3 linked regions of the Arabidopsis thaliana genome follow. The protein of the gene in region 3 interacts with the protein of the main gene of each other region in a pairwise test. Each region holds a gene or a part of one and is shown on either strand. Other genes may lie near its edges.

Evidence for each region.
Region 1: the proteins of SGR5 (region 3) and ARIA interact in binary tests that used the Arabidopsis thaliana proteins (3 or more experiments, as listed by UniProt).
Region 2: the proteins of SGR5 (region 3) and CRC interact in binary tests that used the Arabidopsis thaliana proteins (3 or more experiments, as listed by UniProt).

Annotation. Positions count from the first base shown.
Region 1 is NC_003076.8:6,507,024-6,514,472, reverse strand, and holds ARIA (ARM repeat protein interacting with ABF2), read left to right. Parts: upstream 1-1,671; 5' UTR 1,672-1,771; coding exon 1,772-2,024; intron 2,025-2,106; coding exon of another isoform or gene 2,107-2,109; coding exon 2,110-2,267; intron 2,268-2,459; coding exon 2,460-2,632; intron 2,633-2,715; coding exon 2,716-2,836; intron 2,837-2,903; coding exon 2,904-2,978; intron 2,979-3,069; coding exon 3,070-3,164; intron 3,165-3,330; coding exon 3,331-3,406; intron 3,407-3,623; coding exon 3,624-3,731; intron 3,732-4,152; coding exon 4,153-4,281; intron 4,282-4,373; coding exon 4,374-4,442; intron 4,443-4,591; coding exon 4,592-4,651; intron 4,652-4,805; coding exon 4,806-4,929; intron 4,930-5,053; coding exon 5,054-5,193; intron 5,194-5,276; coding exon 5,277-5,340; intron 5,341-5,421; coding exon 5,422-5,501; intron 5,502-5,675; coding exon 5,676-5,740; intron 5,741-5,859; coding exon 5,860-5,977; intron 5,978-6,026; coding exon of another isoform or gene 6,027-6,066; coding exon 6,067-6,191; intron 6,192-6,278; and 3 more. UniProt on the Arabidopsis thaliana protein: May act as a substrate-specific adapter of an E3 ubiquitin-protein ligase complex (CUL3-RBX1-BTB) which mediates the ubiquitination and subsequent proteasomal degradation of target proteins.
Region 2 is NC_003070.9:26,006,755-26,011,064, reverse strand, and holds CRC (Plant-specific transcription factor YABBY family protein), read left to right. Parts: upstream 1-1,923; 5' UTR 1,924-2,124; coding exon 2,125-2,226; intron 2,227-2,404; coding exon 2,405-2,524; intron 2,525-2,617; coding exon 2,618-2,726; intron 2,727-2,826; coding exon 2,827-2,875; intron 2,876-2,990; coding exon 2,991-3,066; intron 3,067-3,162; coding exon 3,163-3,225; intron 3,226-3,304; coding exon 3,305-3,331; 3' UTR 3,332-3,715; downstream 3,716-4,310. Other genes in the region: AT1G69170 (Squamosa promoter-binding protein-like (SBP domain) transcription factor family protein), read right to left, coding at 4,024-4,310. UniProt on the Arabidopsis thaliana protein: Transcription factor required for the initiation of nectary development. Also involved in suppressing early radial growth of the gynoecium, in promoting its later elongation and in fusion of its carpels by regulating both cell division and expansion.
Region 3 is NC_003071.7:430,410-435,641, forward strand, and holds SGR5 (C2H2-like zinc finger protein), read left to right. Parts: upstream 1-1,865; 5' UTR 1,866-2,242; coding exon 2,243-2,402; intron 2,403-2,437; exon of another isoform or gene 2,438-2,602; intron 2,603-2,715; coding exon 2,716-3,102; coding exon of another isoform or gene 3,103-3,118; intron 3,119-3,714; coding exon 3,715-4,508; 3' UTR 4,509-4,668; downstream 4,669-5,232. UniProt on the Arabidopsis thaliana protein: Transcription factor involved in inflorescence stems gravitropism, probably by regulating starch accumulation in amyloplasts of graviperceptive cells. Required for stem circumnutation movements. Regulates lateral organ morphogenesis and gravitropic responses.

The sequences.
Region 1 (7,449 bases), on a different chromosome or scaffold from region 3:
TGAAGCAGAGCGAAACCACTCGCCATCTACCAGTTTGTGACGAATGTAACTTAAGATATCTAACTTCACACACATGCTATAAAAGAAGCAAAAACTTAAATCATGTTGTGTCATGTGAAAAAAGAATTTTACTGTTCTTGTTTAAGCAATTTGGAACGACTAATGTCTTTGTTCGTAGTTCAACGTTAAGGTGAGATATAATATAACTCTTATCGGATGGGTGAAACCCACTAGGAAGTTTTGTGACTTAGCTAAGATCAAGTCTTGGTTTCTCAAGAAGATTGCTTGGAACTTGGCCCGGTTAGACTATAGTTTTGTATGATTCTAAAACACAGGAAACAAACATATATAAGTATATAACAATCTCAATGGTCTGGCATGTGATTCGGAGAAGGTTCAGGGTTTAGGTAAGGTCAGAGAGCAGAAGGTGTTGACCCTCTGGTCCGGCCGGAGATCAAAAACGAAGAGCGAGTCAAAGAGAGGTCCTTTGACCTTTTCTCTCTCCGTTAATTCCATTGCGGCTGACGTGGGAATTTCATGCCTATATGGCCCAGCAACGAGACCTGGCTCATGATCAGGCCCATTATTTTCGAAAATCTTCTATTGGACACTCCACATTATATCATCTTGATTGGGTTACAAAACAAATATATTATTTATGTGAAATGTAAAATAAAATAAAAAAATTGCAAGTAACATGTATATCATTATATATTGATACTTTTATAAGAAAAAAATGTATATATGGATACCAGCTAGCTTCACACATCACTACATAGCATCACACACATCACTACCTAGGCATTTGCCCACTTTAGACCTCACAATAATTATTTCTTATGATCTCATAGTGAATCAATCACATTTTTACAAACACAAATAATAAGATACATGCTCTATTGCTCTTGAGAGAGGCACAAAAAGAGATATGCTGCTGAATTCCATATATCATAATGAGCTATGATTCTATGAATAAACCTTTTATTTTCTTCCACTTTATCGTTTGTTCTCGCTTTTTTTTTTCCCCTTTGTTTGTTCAAAGCATGCTCGTGCCTCCGAAGTTTTGATTTCATGTGGTCACCATATATAAAGAAATAGTTCCTTTTATCTTCTCAAATTAAAGAAATAGTTCTTTCTTCTCTCTTTGATATTTTTATTCACACTTTCAAACACGTCTCCTTTGTGGCAGACCACCCAAAAGTTCAAAAGCCTTACTATTACTTATTTTTATTATTATTGATACCAACTAATAATGACTATAAACCATCAACAATAAGTTTTTAGTTGTTGCAATAAAACTGCACAACCTCGAGGTGGGAGTGGGACAATATCTTTTCAGTTCCGGTACGCCCAAGTTAGCAAATCGGCACCACCAGTGAGGAGCGCAAATTAGCACTATGTCGCTAGAAAAACATTTCAATATATATATATATATATATATATATTTGTCTAAAAACATTTCAATATATAAACAATCAAAAATGTAAACGAAAAATTAAAAACGTTTCAATTATACATTCTTTGGACATTAATAAGAAAGATCATTTATGTCTAATACTCTAATCCCAAGTACGAATTTGTTTTTTTCTTTTCTTACAATTTAAACTAGAAATACAAAATAAAAATAAAATAAAGGGTTTTTATTTGTGAGTCGAATGAAATAACGAAAATACCCCTGATCTCTTTTGTGCCTGAGATTGATTTCAAAACGCTGCTTCTTCTTCTTCTCTGATCTCTCCTCTTCTTCGGATCGTCTTTTACTTTGTGAACGATGGACCAACAACCGGAGAGGCGAGAAGGCCGGAGTTTTCCGGAGCGTAAAGGACAGAAGCGGAAGCTAGAGGAAGGAGCCGCCGCCGTAGAAGATCGAGAGATCTCTGCCGTCAGCACCGACGGAGGCCAAGCGCTTCTTAGCGAGGTTGCTGCTCAAGTCTCGGTACTAAACTCTGCCTTCTCTTGGCAAGAGTCCGATCGCGCTGCTGCCAAGCGAGCCACTCAAGTTCTGGCTGAGCTAGCCAAAAACGGTGAAAATCAGCTTCCGATCTTACTCCTTTTTCTCCGGTTTCTTCATATTTTGTTGCATGACTAGTGACCTTTGATGTTCAGCAGAGGATTTAGTGAACGTGATTGTCGACGGAGGTGCTGTTCCAGCTCTTATGACGCATCTACAGGCGCCACCATACAACGACGGGGACTTGGCTGAGAAGCCGTACGAACACGAAGTTGAGAAGGGAAGCGCTTTTGCGCTTGGTCTTCTTGCTATTAAGGTTGTGATCCTCATTTTCTCTATGTCAGCTCCTTGTATAGTGTGTTTAGCTTGTTAGAAAGTAGTTTCCTTTTTTGTTTTGTTGATCCAAATCAATTTTTTTTAAGGCAAAATTTTGGTAATTGAACTCTTATACACGGAGGGGATTATGTATTGTTTGTGTGATCGTGTTGTGGAATTGATTTCTTAACAGCCAGAGTATCAGAAACTGATAGTAGACAAAGGTGCCTTACCTCATTTAGTGAATTTGTTGAAGAGAAACAAAGATGGTTCTAGCTCTCGAGCTGTGAATAGTGTTATCAGAAGAGCGGCTGATGCCATCACCAATCTTGCTCATGAGAACAGCAGTATCAAGACCCGTGTTAGGTCAGCATATTTAAGTGGTTTTCTCCTTTCGAGATTTGTTTTCAGTACAACTCTATCCTCTTGACTTCCAGTTTGACAAACAGGGTAGAAGGCGGTATTCCACCTCTCGTGGAGTTGCTTGAATTTTCTGATTCAAAGGTCCAGAGAGCAGCAGCAGGGGCATTGAGAACCCTTGCATTTAAAAATGATGATAACAAGAATCAGGTAAATATTGCTATCTTACAGCTTCTACTTAGATTTAGCCGGAGCATGATAATTATTTTCTTTGCAGATAGTTGAATGCAATGCTCTTCCCACACTTATTCTAATGCTAGGATCAGAGGATGCTGCTATACATTATGAAGCGGTTAGGAATCTTTTTATAATCAACTGTTTTGCTACTTATTTATCTATGTGGGATTGACGTTGAAATAACCAGTTGAGTCATGCTTTTTAAGGTTGGAGTTATAGGCAATCTAGTACACTCGTCTCCACACATTAAAAAAGAGGTTCTTACTGCCGGGGCGTTGCAACCTGTCATTGGTCTTCTTAGGTATGTGGACCCTCACCATTTTGATATACATGGTTGATGGTTCAGCATAGAGTTGTTATGACTTTGGCTAGAGCTGAAATCTTACCAGCTTCTCTATTGTTGAGGTTTTTATTTCGCTGTTAACCCCAAGTTCATTCTTTTGATTTCTTGAATTTTTCTTTTACAGCTCCTGTTGCCCTGAGAGTCAAAGAGAGGCGGCTTTATTACTTGGGCAGTTTGCCTCAACTGATTCTGATTGTAAGGTACAATTTCATCCCAGGTTTTTTTATCCTCAGCTCTTTTTCCATTCCCGAAAGCCTTATATCTTTTTTTGTTTGGTTATACGAAGTGATAAGTTGTTTGTTTCTGTTGATTTGTAGAACATACCTTCCCATTTCTCACTAATTCTACCATTTTCCCTGATTTATATAGGTTTGTTTTGTTCATTCTTCACTTCATGCTCAAATTATAACTTTGCAGGTGCACATTGTGCAAAGGGGTGCTGTCCGTCCTTTAATTGAGATGCTTCAGTCCCCGGATGTCCAGTTGAAGGAAATGTCGGCCTTTGCACTGGGTAGATTGGCACAGGTTCTTCTTTTAAAACTTTTGGTAGTTCGGTTATGAAAGTGTACGCATTCCCATTTGAGTGTTGTGAAATAGTAACTTCACGCTTTAGATGTTACCTCTTCTTACTTCCAGATCAAACATTTGATACCACAACTGTTATTAATTTGTAGCTTTTGTTTCTTAGTGTTTTCAAATAATTCCTAGTGATCCTGGATAATTTGCTGTTGCCTTGATTGTCAACTGTTTTCTTATTGGTTACTTCAAGATTGGTTTGATTTTAAATTTATAGATGCTAAAAAAGCTGGCTTCCATGGTTGTGGAAGATGGGTATTCTTATTGTGTTTCTAAATCTGTTTTCATTAGGGGGAACTTTTAAGTAGTGAGTTATATTAAATAATAAAACCGATGTGTCTTTTGATTTCTAGCATACTCTTTCTTGCAGGATGCCCACAATCAAGCTGGTATTGCCCATAGTGGTGGTTTAGGACCTTTATTGAAGCTTCTCGATTCAAGAAATGGATCATTGCAACACAATGCTGCATTTGCTCTTTATGGCCTTGCCGATAATGAGGTGTGCTGTATGCTACTTTCGGTTTATTCATTATGCAGAATTTGATGGTAAACGTCGGTAAATGGGTTATTGATCCATTTTTCTTCCCCTAGGATAATGTGTCAGATTTTATCAGGGTGGGAGGTATCCAAAAGCTACAGGATGGAGAGTTTATTGTTCAAGTATGTATGGCGTTGCCACTCTTCCTCTACTTTACAGAACCACATTGTCATACTCCTTTATTGGCTAGATACTGAAGTTTCTTAGCAGCTTTAATCGTATTTTTTTACTCTTCCCCTTAAGGTGTTTATAATATATCATGATTTTTTAGGCAACTAAAGATTGTGTTTCCAAAACACTAAAGAGATTGGAGGAGAAGATTCATGGAAGAGTAAGTGAAACTATACTTTTCTTTAATTCTTTTTTTTTTTCCATCTTTGATGACTAAAACTGCTTTATCCTGGTTGAGTTTCTGAAGCTCTGTTGAAGTTTAGCATTTCTTTATTCAACCTTTGAGATTTCTGTGCTTTGATTTTCTTTTGTAGGTTCTGAGACATCTGTTGTACCTAATGCGCATTTCAGAGAAGTCTATCCAAAGACGAGTTGCTCTTGCCCTTGCTCATCTCTGTTCACCCGAGGATCAACGAACCATATTCATAGATGACAACGGCATGTGACAGTTTTTTTATATTTTCATGAGCTAAATGAGATGCATGCGTTATGTTTAATGCGTTAACCGTCCAGTTTAGATGTTCTTTGTCCAAAAAGTTAATATTGAGTTGTCTTTTGACAGGGTTGGAGTTGCTACTCGGTCTTCTTGGTTCTTTAAACACTAAGCAGCAACTTGACGGTGCAGCAGCGTTGTACAAATTAGCAAATAAATCTATGGCACTTTCTCCAGTTGATGCTGCTCCTCCTTCTCCAACACAAAGGGTGAGTTTCCTTTCTGCTTCAGTTCTCCTATAGGTAACGGGTGGAAGTCTCAATGCAGTATTCTGTATGTCTTTTTGTGACAGGTTTATCTCGGAGAGCAATATGTAAATAATGCTACGCTGTCTGATGTAACCTTTCTAGTCGAAGGTAATCATATATAAATCCAGAAGTTGTGGAACTCTAGTTAGCTTCAAAGTCCATATGTAAAACAGAAAAATCATACTGCAGGAAGGACATTCTATGCACACAGAATTTGTCTGCTGGCATCCTCAGATGCATTTCGTGCAATGTTTGATGGTGGTTACAGAGTAAGTGAACTAAATATTTTGGTTTTTCGATAATGTTCTTGTGGGGTAAATGATATTTTGATGACAATGACGTATGGATGTATGCTGGTCTGCTATTTATCAAAGGAATACAATTATCTTTTGGGGAAATTAGACCTGAATTGTGTCACGGTTTGTGTTTCGTTTATATCACAGGAAAAAGACGCTAGAGATATTGAGATTCCAAATATCAAATGGGAGGTGTTTGAGTTAATGATGAGGTATGATGAATGAACCTCTGCATGCTTTTGATTGACTCACTCGAGATATTGAAATTTCGAAAAGTCTGTGAGAACTTTTCATATACACGTAATTGACTCCCTTGGATTATGATTTTCAGGTTTATATACACTGGATCTGTCGACATAACAAATGAGATATCAAAAGATCTTCTAAGAGCAGCGGATCAGTATCTCTTGGAGGGCCTGAAACGACTCTGTGAATACACAATTGCTCAGGTGAGCCAGAATTATATCACAATGTAAAGTGATGATGTGGTTTGCGTAGTACTTAACGAAATCTGACACGGTTACTTTGAATATGAAAGGATATTACGTTGGAAAGTATAGGAGACATGTACGAGCTATCAGAAGCATTCCATGCGATGTCGCTGAGGCAAGCTTGTATCATGTTCATCCTGGAGCATTTCGATAAACTGAGTTCAATGCCTTGGTAATATAAACAAGATGTCACTCTCTCTCTCCACTAAGATTTGTTTTATTGCTATTAGTCTGAAACAAAAGTGAATGGAAAATGCAGGCAGAACGAGCTGGTGCAGAGAACAATACCAGAGATAAGAGAGTACTTTTGTAGAGCCCTAACAAAGTCTACTACAAACCTGCAAAGCTTGAGGTTGTAGAATGCGGAAGAAGAAGACTGCACTTAACTAGAGGTAAGTAGACAAGGAATTATATAGAGAGAAAGAGAGAGAGAGATCAAGAGCCGCCATTAGAGGTCTTTATCGTCCTGTACTGGGTTGTCTTAGTTATTTGCTGTGCTTTTTGGTTCGTTTTGGTCATTTTGTATTGTATTAATTAATCTCCTCTGATCACAATCGGTCTTGAATGAAATCGCTACCCTTTGTATCCAAAAATACCATTGTGGTATAACTTCCACTATTCAATTCAAAATCCACTCTCCAACTATCCTCTCTGTTGAGAAAAGATACTTTGGGTAGGTTGTGACTAAGCGTAGCTGTAACGATTTGATATTGGTAGTGGTGACCAGTGAGTTCATGTCTGAATAATTAAGAGATGATTCAACACAGAACATAATATCCCATTTTTGTTTTACAAATAAAGAATCAATCGAAAGTATTACTGATGATTAGAGACTGTAACTTGTAAGTATTTTGTAGCACAAGCCACTGAAAATTACATTACACATAAAGGAGTTTTCTTTAACATGAAAGATTCAAAATTACCAGGTTGGTTCTAATTAATTACGTTTTCTTCCAAAGTGATTAATTACTCAAGTCACGATGAATTATTAACCTTTCTCTTTTTTTTTTTTTTTAAATTAGTCTATAGAGACTTTTGGTTCAACGAACGTAGGAGGGAGTTTTAAAGAGCTCCGGTGAAGGAGAAACCCTAAAAACACACTCGATTTTGCAGCCAGAGAGAGTCTCAGAGCTCCGAGATTCAGACAATCTTCATCGGTCCGGTACGCTTTTCATTTCCGTTTATTCTCATCGCAAACGGATAATTATTTGTCTGATCCGATTTTACCCTGTGATTAAGCACCGATGTTCCTTCCTCGTAGTTGGTGATTTAATGCTTCTTCTCGAAACTATCCACTTATAGGATCTCCGATCTTTACGAGATTACTCTCCTTAATCTCTGTTATTGATTTAGTCACAGCATTTTCTGATTTATCAATTAGTTATTCCTTTGGGCTCAATGTTAATCCTCCTAAGTGATTAGTGATTACG
Region 2 (4,310 bases), on a different chromosome or scaffold from region 3:
TTCTAACATTGAGAGGAAAACTCTAATCAAATAAAATTGTAAGTAAGCTAAATATGTGTGTCGAAGTAGGAAATCTAAGGAAAGTGAAGAATGCAAAAAAGTTAGTCACTGAAAGAGACGTGTGATTGATCACTTGTCTCCTTCCAATTTCCCTGTGGGGGCAGTGCATGCACAAAAGATGGAATCCATCCTATAGCTCCTCCTTTCTTCACTATCTTTTCAAGTTTCTCTTTTTGAATATATTTTTTTTAAATTGATTTTGATTTAACTCAAAGCCCACACTTCTTAATCCATCTTCTCTATAATTAGTATGCCAACAAATATATATGCTTGTTCTGTCTCAAATTTCAACAATAAAGCGTGTATAGCTCCCAAAAAGCTATGTTGATGAGTTATCACTCTTTTTATGGATTGGACTAATAGTTTGTCTCATGTCAAAATGATTATACATAACTCAGAATCCAGCAGTATAGAGAACTTAACTTTTATATATATGTTAACCCTCATAACCTCAAACAGAAAATTTGTAGTGCAGTGTAGAAAACATCCTTAAACATAAAGTAAATCCTTTAACAAAAAAAATAAATATAAGTGGCAAATCAAGAGATTCTGCTTTTGAGTCCAATGTATGTATAGTTGGATGTTCTGAAGAAGATCCATTGTTTTGGTTGTTTCTCTACAGTTAAACGATTTTTATATTTAACTTATTAATGCAATTGAGTGAAAATTTCACGATGAAGAAAAAAGTTGTGAATCATGACAAGTTTTGTCCTCAGTTTTGCAGTGAAATCATTTTGCGTGAAAATTTTATGAGAGAAACAAAAAAAAAAAAAACTGATCAAAAGATCAGGAAAGGACCATTCTTAATTTATAACATGTGGGCAAGTCAAGGCTTGCTGGCATCAAACTTGAATAAATGTAATCATATTCACACCATGTATTGTTTAATATATAATTTTAATATCTTAATTGGTCATCTATTTTTGTCTTTTTGCATCGCATATGTGTCATAATTAATATCTGTACGATGTAGAGGCTAGTGAATATAAAGTGAAAACATAGATATATCGATCTTAAACCAATGGTATCTTACACCATATGTATATGCTTGTTTGAAAATATTTATTCTACGAAAGTATTAATTGGATTGATTGTTTTCACTCTCTTGAGTAATTTTGGATAAGTTAATAGTTATTATTTTTATTACACATGATTAAGGTGTATTGTTAATTATAAATCATATTTATACGAAGACATGGTTGAATAATGTCCAACACAGCTTATTTTAGCAAAAACTAATGTACGAGGAGTGACATTTAGGGTCTTGATATTTTTGAAGCAAAATTAAATACGTCTGCAAGATTTTGCAGAGGGAGGCATGTACTATATCATCTGCAATAGTAGCAACATAGATAAAAGTCATAAACCCCTAGATCCGGTCCCTTTAATTTAATTCATATATATGATTTGACATAAAATTACTTTTGTTAAAAAGTTTGTTTTTACATTAAATTCTTCTATCTTTTTTCTAAATATCAGTTTAATATACATTTGTAATTTTTCTTGCAATCCCTAGCCAGCTTAATGATATCATTTTTTTTCCTTCTTTATATCCAGAGAAATTTTATGCGGAAACGTAGATTAATATCATCGAACTTGTTGATCCAATTTGTTTTATCTTTTAAAACATTTACAGTGATTACAAAATAGAATATATAGCAAGTAAATATCCAACGAAAACACATAATGTCTTTAACAAAAAAAAAGAACGAAAAAAAAAAGAAAACACATAATGTCACCATTAGAAACTCGTGTCTACACCAGAAGTCATTAGTTTAAGATATTCATTTTTTTTTTTTTTGATAAGATGATATTAAATGTTGTTAAAATAAACAATAAAAATGCAATTATGGACTGCATATACACGTCCAACACTTTGACAATCTGTATCGCTCTCTCTCTCTCTCTATATATATATATGTCATGGTCTCACTATGATTGTTCTATAAATACAAGCCTCCTAACTCATAAAATAAGCATAACCCTAACTCTACAAAGTTCTTCTGATTCTTTCTCTCTCTCTCTTTCTTTCAAGAGCGGTTTTCAATCCATTCGCTAAAGACCATGAACCTAGAAGAGAAACCAACCATGACGGCTTCAAGGGCTTCCCCTCAAGCCGAACATCTCTACTACGTCCGGTGTAGCATCTGCAACACCATCCTCGCGGTAAATTATTACCTACATATAAGAAGATATATAAGCATATATATACTTGCATGACCCTATATATGTTGATAATATCACATACATGCTAAGCTATACATATTGTTGTTTATGTTATATATATATATATTTCTTCAAATTTTCGAGCTAATTTGTAAACCGAATCTACACACATATATAGGTTGGGATACCATTGAAGAGAATGCTTGACACGGTAACGGTGAAATGCGGCCATTGTGGTAACCTCTCGTTTCTCACCACAACTCCTCCTCTTCAAGGCCATGTTAGCCTCACCCTTCAGGTATATAACACTTGTGTTATAGTTATACATACGAGTATAATTCTTTTTATACAAAAAACTGATACTAAGCCAATCTTTGTTTTAACTAAGCAGATGCAGAGCTTTGGTGGAAGTGACTATAAGAAGGGAAGCTCTTCTTCTTCCTCTTCCTCCACCTCCAGCGACCAGCCCCCATCTCCCTCACCTCCCTTTGTCGTCAAACGTAATTAAGCTTATTACCATTTCTGACTCCTTTTTCTTCTATAAACTTAATCACTATCTACATATATATGATTATCTGTTGAACATCTTTGGTATTGTAGCTCCTGAGAAGAAGCAGAGGCTCCCATCTGCATACAACCGCTTCATGAGGTTTAACCTTTGACATATACTCTTTAGTTCCAAGTTAATTATGAAATTTAATGCATAAAAAATAAATATAATTTAGTACTCTTCTTCATCTTTTTTTGAAACAAAATATAAAAAGGGATGAGATCCAACGCATCAAAAGTGCCAATCCGGAAATACCACACCGTGAAGCTTTCAGTGCTGCTGCCAAAAATGTAAGACAAGTCTCTTTTTGTTACCAACCATTGTTGTCACCTTTAATATTATTTTTTCACAATTTCGTTTGTGTAAATGAAAAATGTCACAAACAGTGGGCTAAGTACATACCCAACTCTCCTACTTCCATTACTTCCGGAGGCCACAACATGATCCATGTAAGCTATACAAACTAAGTCTGCATAAGGACATATTTATATACATTATATAAAGATTTAAAATGTTTTGTTCAATTAGGGCTTGGGATTCGGTGAGAAGAAGTGAACAAAACTCAGGGGAAAAGAAGCCTAAAAATAACAAACGCATGCACGTGTGCGAGTGGCTGCGTCGTTTTTCTCATCTTGTGTTGTTCTTCTGTGTAATTTTCTTATGTATGTCATGTTGCAGAAAATGATGTTGCCTTAGTTTTTATGACTTTATATTTCTGTCTGTCTTTAGATTTGAAAGTAACGTCACTTGCTATGTCCCTTTGGACGTTTATGTCTGGTCTTTATTTGTCTTAATCCTATCAAAATTTTATATGCGTATTCCTTAATTCCATCTGGGACACTTTTTCTTTTCCCCAATGATTTGCAACTTTCAACATCGTAACTTCGAACTCGAGAATCTCAGATCAGTCCTCAGATGACGTGAGTGTACAGAACAAAACAAAACAAAAGTAAAAATTCACTTTTTCAGCGAATATTCATTACATGTATATATACAAATTGTCTGTAACGCTGTGAAAAGGAAGTAGGCATAGATATCTGAAGCAATTTTCTTCAGAACATTATTGACTGGTGAATAATAACACAACAGTTACAAATTACAATAATACGTGTAACATGATCTGATCCTCTTAATTCCTCTATCTAATCACAAACTAATCAAGCCATGCAGGCTTGTCTTGTCCTTCTGCAGAACAATCTCAAGAAACTCGAACCGGTTTAAAGGAATAAGAATGTTGTAACCTTTTATTAGGAGCCAGGGAAATAAAGCTCATTATATTCCTGCTTCACATCACCAGTGTAATTCCTCTGTTGCTCGATTCTTTGAAGATGTGATGACAGTTGCAGTAGATCAACCGTGGATGTTCCTTTTCCTTTACAAGAACTAGAACCAGCAGAATTGGTCTTGCCAGGATCGATCCACAACGGTTGTTCCATCTGATGATAGTCAGTTGATGATGAGTGATTGAGATTTTGGTTGGGTTGGGTGATTGAGAACGTTGTGTTTGGAAACTTAGACAAGTGTTGTTGGGACT
Region 3 (5,232 bases):
TTCATTTAAGATGTTGTGGTCTCTCAAGTCCATATATAACGATTAGAAACTACAAATTTATAATTTTGTAGCTCCGAAATAAATATCATGCATTATGTATCAGCTAGAAAAGATCTAATCAGTGGTAATAATCGATAAGCAAAGGGTTAAGTAAGAGATGGGAGAGTAATCTCATCTTAGGAAATGATTACAAACACGATCTCATTTCTTTCCTTTATACAAAGCTGTCACCGTAGTAACTCGATCACATCTTCTCGTCTAATTTGTTCTGTTTTTCCTTTCGGTCCATTTAGAACCAATTTTTGACAACTGACAAAAAACATTATGAGGTATCTTTTGTTTCTTTTATCTGCAAATTAATTTATTATTCGGCAATAACAAAAATAAAAACAACTAGTAGCGAATAGCGATCAAGCTAAGGAAGGAATACATATGGCATTTACAATTGAAACAGAGAAAATGTGTTAAAGTAACAAAACTTATGATTGAGAAAATTTAAACCATAATTGAAACAGAGAAAATGTGTTAAAGTAACAAAACTTATGATTGAGAAAATTTAAACCATAATAATGATTAATTTTGGTAGTCTACATATGAGTTCCATCAAAAAAAAAAAAATGTTTTCATATAAGATTCATTTCATTCTTGATCCAGTAACATTCTTAGATCTGTTAATGAACCTTCTTAAGGAATGACTGAGAAGAAAGGCAATAGCCTAAAAGGAATCGACAGTGGAGAGTGGAGGGAAAAAGAGGTCACGTGAGTAAGACATAAGGTCACGTGCGCGAGGGATCGAATATGAATTTTACTAAAATAGGGTTTTATAAAAACATACTAATACTACTTTCACATTTACTCTTGGTTTGAATTATTTTTATACGCATGTATAATTTGATATATTTGTCTTTTTTCTTCCCCTAACTATGTATGGGCACTAGTACATCCATTATATAAGCCAAATAGAAAGAAAAAATAATAGTTTGTCTGCATTATTGTAAACTTACAGAATTTGGTATTTAATGCAATAATGCATTTTTATCCTTGGATTATTCACAAGAACCATATACCTTTTTTTTTCTCTCCTTGTTTCCAAGTGTAATTCGAAAAGAATCTTAACATGTATGTGGACCAACGTTGGAAACATGATGACATAACATTCATATATAGTTAACAATGACAATTTTTCTTAAATTGTCTATATATTATTGGATTGCTTTAACAATAATGAAACGCAAGATGTATTAGTGATGTATAATCACACTATTTATAGGACTTGAGAGTGACAGTCAAAAAGTTAATTAGAAGTAATGAAGTATCTTAACCTTATTATTTAATTGCTTCTTACATCATCTAAGAGTTAGCACCGTATCGATATTCATAAATTCTCTCCTAATTTGCAGATACAATACAACTATTGCTATTTTAAGCCTCTAACCTGCATAATATTTTGATGAAAGGCAAGCCTTACATGTGGACGTATGATCTCATATATTTTTTTTTTTCATTTGTTAGAAGAAACTCATGTAGATAATCTCAAACATAAAATAAAATGTTTCAAAAAAAAAAAAAAAAATAGTTTGTGAAGGTTCAAGAAAATCAGACAAATTCATCAATCAGACAAGATATGGGTCCAAGCCAAAAAATTCATATATCCAACATGCTCAAAGAAACAAAGTCTAAAAAATAAATACAAAATAACAAAAAGAAAAATCTAAAATCTACATCTAAATCTAAATAAATACACCACCTTCTCTCTCTCTCTCTCTAGCTACACGAGTGTATGTATACATTTTACGCAATGATGGCATAGTGCAATGAGCTTTATAAGTAGAAGCAATATAGACATCAAAGACCCCTTATTTGCTCTCAACTCTCAAGTGTATGAGAGAGAAATAGGTTTTTGAAGAAGAGTCAAAATATATACCCAAAGAGAGAGCTAGAGAGAGAGAGACTCAAGAAAATTAAAAAGCTTTCATCATATTAACATAAGAGAAACTTTGAAGAGCCTAAGAAAAAGTTTTGAAAAGCCTTTGTTGCAGAAAGCTTAAAAGAACTTTTTCTCTCCCCCTATATCTCTCTTTATCACCCTTCCTCTTCTTTGTAAAGCTGAATCTCCCACTATCTCTTCTTCTTTCATTTTTTTTTTTTTTTGGTCTTTGGGCCTTGTTCTTTCATCAAATCAATCTCTAGAATCCAAATACAATAAAGTCAAAAAGAAAGATCAAGAAAAGTAGAGTAATTGATGAGAACAGATCAAGTGATGTTGTCCAACAAGAACACAAACACATGTTGTGTGGTTTCTTCTTCTTCTTCTGATCCTTTCCTCTCCTCTTCAGAAAATGGGGTCACCACCACAAACACATCCACTCAGAAGAGGAAAAGAAGACCTGCAGGTACCCCAGGTAATAATAAATCCCCACTACAGAAAATTTATTTTTCAAAATCTTTTTTTCTTGTTTTTATTTTCTTATGAAAATTTTCAACTCATGGGTACTATTGTTTTTTGTTTTTTTTTTCTCTTAAACCCCATTAGAAATACAGGTTTATTATAGGTTTAGTTTTAAAATTTCTCTTTTTCTTATTGCCAGTTTCAAAGTTATAGGTACAATTAATGGGTTTTCATTGTTTTTAATTCTTAAACCTCATTTAAAATCTCAACTTTATTAATCAACTAAGACATGTGTTTTGATGGGTTTTGCCTTATCTCCTTTTCAGATCCAGATGCAGAAGTTGTGTCTTTATCACCAAGAACTCTTCTTGAATCAGACAGATACATATGTGAGATCTGTAACCAAGGGTTTCAAAGAGACCAGAATCTCCAGATGCATAGAAGACGTCACAAAGTTCCATGGAAGCTTCTTAAAAGAGACAACAACATAGAGGTGAAGAAACGAGTCTATGTTTGCCCTGAACCCACTTGCCTTCACCATAATCCTTGTCATGCTCTGGGAGATCTTGTCGGCATCAAAAAACATTTCAGAAGAAAACATAGTAACCATAAGCAATGGGTTTGTGAGAGATGCTCTAAAGGTTATGCTGTTCAATCTGATTACAAAGCTCATCTCAAAACTTGTGGTACTAGAGGACATTCTTGTGACTGTGGTCGTGTCTTCTCCAGGTATAATTTCTTGTTCCTCTCTATCATTTGATTTTTTTTTGACCCATTTTATAAATTAATTATTGGTATTATTAATTCTGAAAAGATATGCAAACTTTTGGAAGGATTTGTTAAGTATTTCTAAAATATACAAGTAATTTGACTCTGTTTGTTTTGTATATTTAGGAGATCATATAGAAAGACAAATATAGAAAATTCTTCTAGGGACCAAAGACTAAGATTGATAGTTATAGTACTATTTGATTTGACTATCCTTCATGATTTTTACTAATTCTGTGTATTGATGTGTATGCATCAGAGTTTTTTAATATATCTCTTGACTATTTGTTTGGTTTTTGTGACATAAAAAGAAAGTTAAGCACTTAGATTAATGACATTGACCCCAATCTCTAAAGAAATATTTTATGTATTTAGGTTATTATTGGACCTTTTTTCGACACAAAGGTTATAATTGGACCTAAACTCATATTAATAATATATATTTTTGAGTTCAAAGGTATTTAATAAACGACGTTTAAACAGAAAAACTTAATATAAAATTATTAACTTTGTCACATTTTCATAATCCTACGTCATATAAATTATGTAATTGATAGGTTTCTTTTCTTCTTTTAGGGTGGAGAGTTTTATTGAACATCAAGATAATTGTTCCGCACGGAGAGTTCACCGTGAACCGCCTCGACCACCACAAACCGCGGTAACAGTCCCGGCATGCTCTTCTAGAACCGCCTCAACCGTCAGCACTCCGTCTAGTGAAACCAATTACGGCGGTACAGTTGCGGTTACGACTCCTCAACCTCTAGAAGGCCGTCCAATTCATCAGAGAATCTCATCTTCAATTCTCACCAACTCATCAAACAATCTCAACCTCGAACTCCAACTTCTTCCATTATCGTCGAATCAAAACCCTAATCAAGAAAACCAACAACAAAAAGTTAAAGAACCATCTCATCATCATAATCATAATCATGATACCACAAACTTAAACCTCTCCATTGCACCATCATCATCATATCAACATTACAACAACTTTGATCGTATAAAAGAGATTATGGCGAGCGAGCAAATTATGAAGATAGCGATGAAGGAGAAAGCTTACGCTGAGGAAGCTAAAAGAGAAGCCAAGAGGCAACGAGAGATAGCGGAAAACGAGTTTGCAAATGCCAAAAAGATTAGGCAAAAAGCACAAGCTGAACTCGAGAGAGCTAAGTTTTTAAAGGAACAATCTATGAAGAAGATAAGTTCAACGATCATGCAGGTCACTTGTCAAACATGTAAAGGACAGTTTCAAGCAGTTGCGGTTCCGGCGGCTACGGCTGATGAGACGTCTCTTGTCGTGAGTTACATGTCGTCAGCGAATACTGACGGAGAGTTGGAAAATGGTTTTTAAGTAAAACCGAAGAAAACATAAGATATTTAAATTGAGGTTAACTTTATTATACTTTTGTGTATTAATTACCGGTTGTGTTAATTTTTTCAACTACCATATATTATGTAATGGTTGTTATATAGTTGTTTCTTTGGTCCAACAATATTAGACTATGTTTTGTAACTATGTTACTGTCATTTCCGCCACATTACACTTTAAATTGTTGAAAAATGATTTTATCCTAGGTTTCATATAGAACCTTAAAATTAAATTTTATCAACAAAAAAAAAACCTTGAAATTAACTATTTAAATTTTTATATAGATATTTTTTCGTCTTGAACGTCTACAGTAGTTTAGAAGGAGTTAAGAGTGGAGATCCGTACATGCGTGTTTTGATCTTTGGCCTTAGATTCGCTTAGAACTTTCAATGGATATACAATTTTTTTAATAAAACATGTGATATGCGGATTTGAATTCGGTTAAATATACATTTGCTTATCCTTGATTTGTCTACATTATTTTTGGTAAGCTTGAGGTGATATATTTGAAAACAAATCTCACGTTTTAAGGATCAAAACAGTCCCTGCATGATAGAGATTATCGACATCTAATGTATACCAGTATATTTAGTAAGTTTGAAAGAGGGTAAGTAGTTGCTTGGCACGAGTTGATATATGGAGTGATGGGAAATGTACTATTATGATGTCGTTTTGGTCCGTGACCGTTACACTTATAACGAGGTTC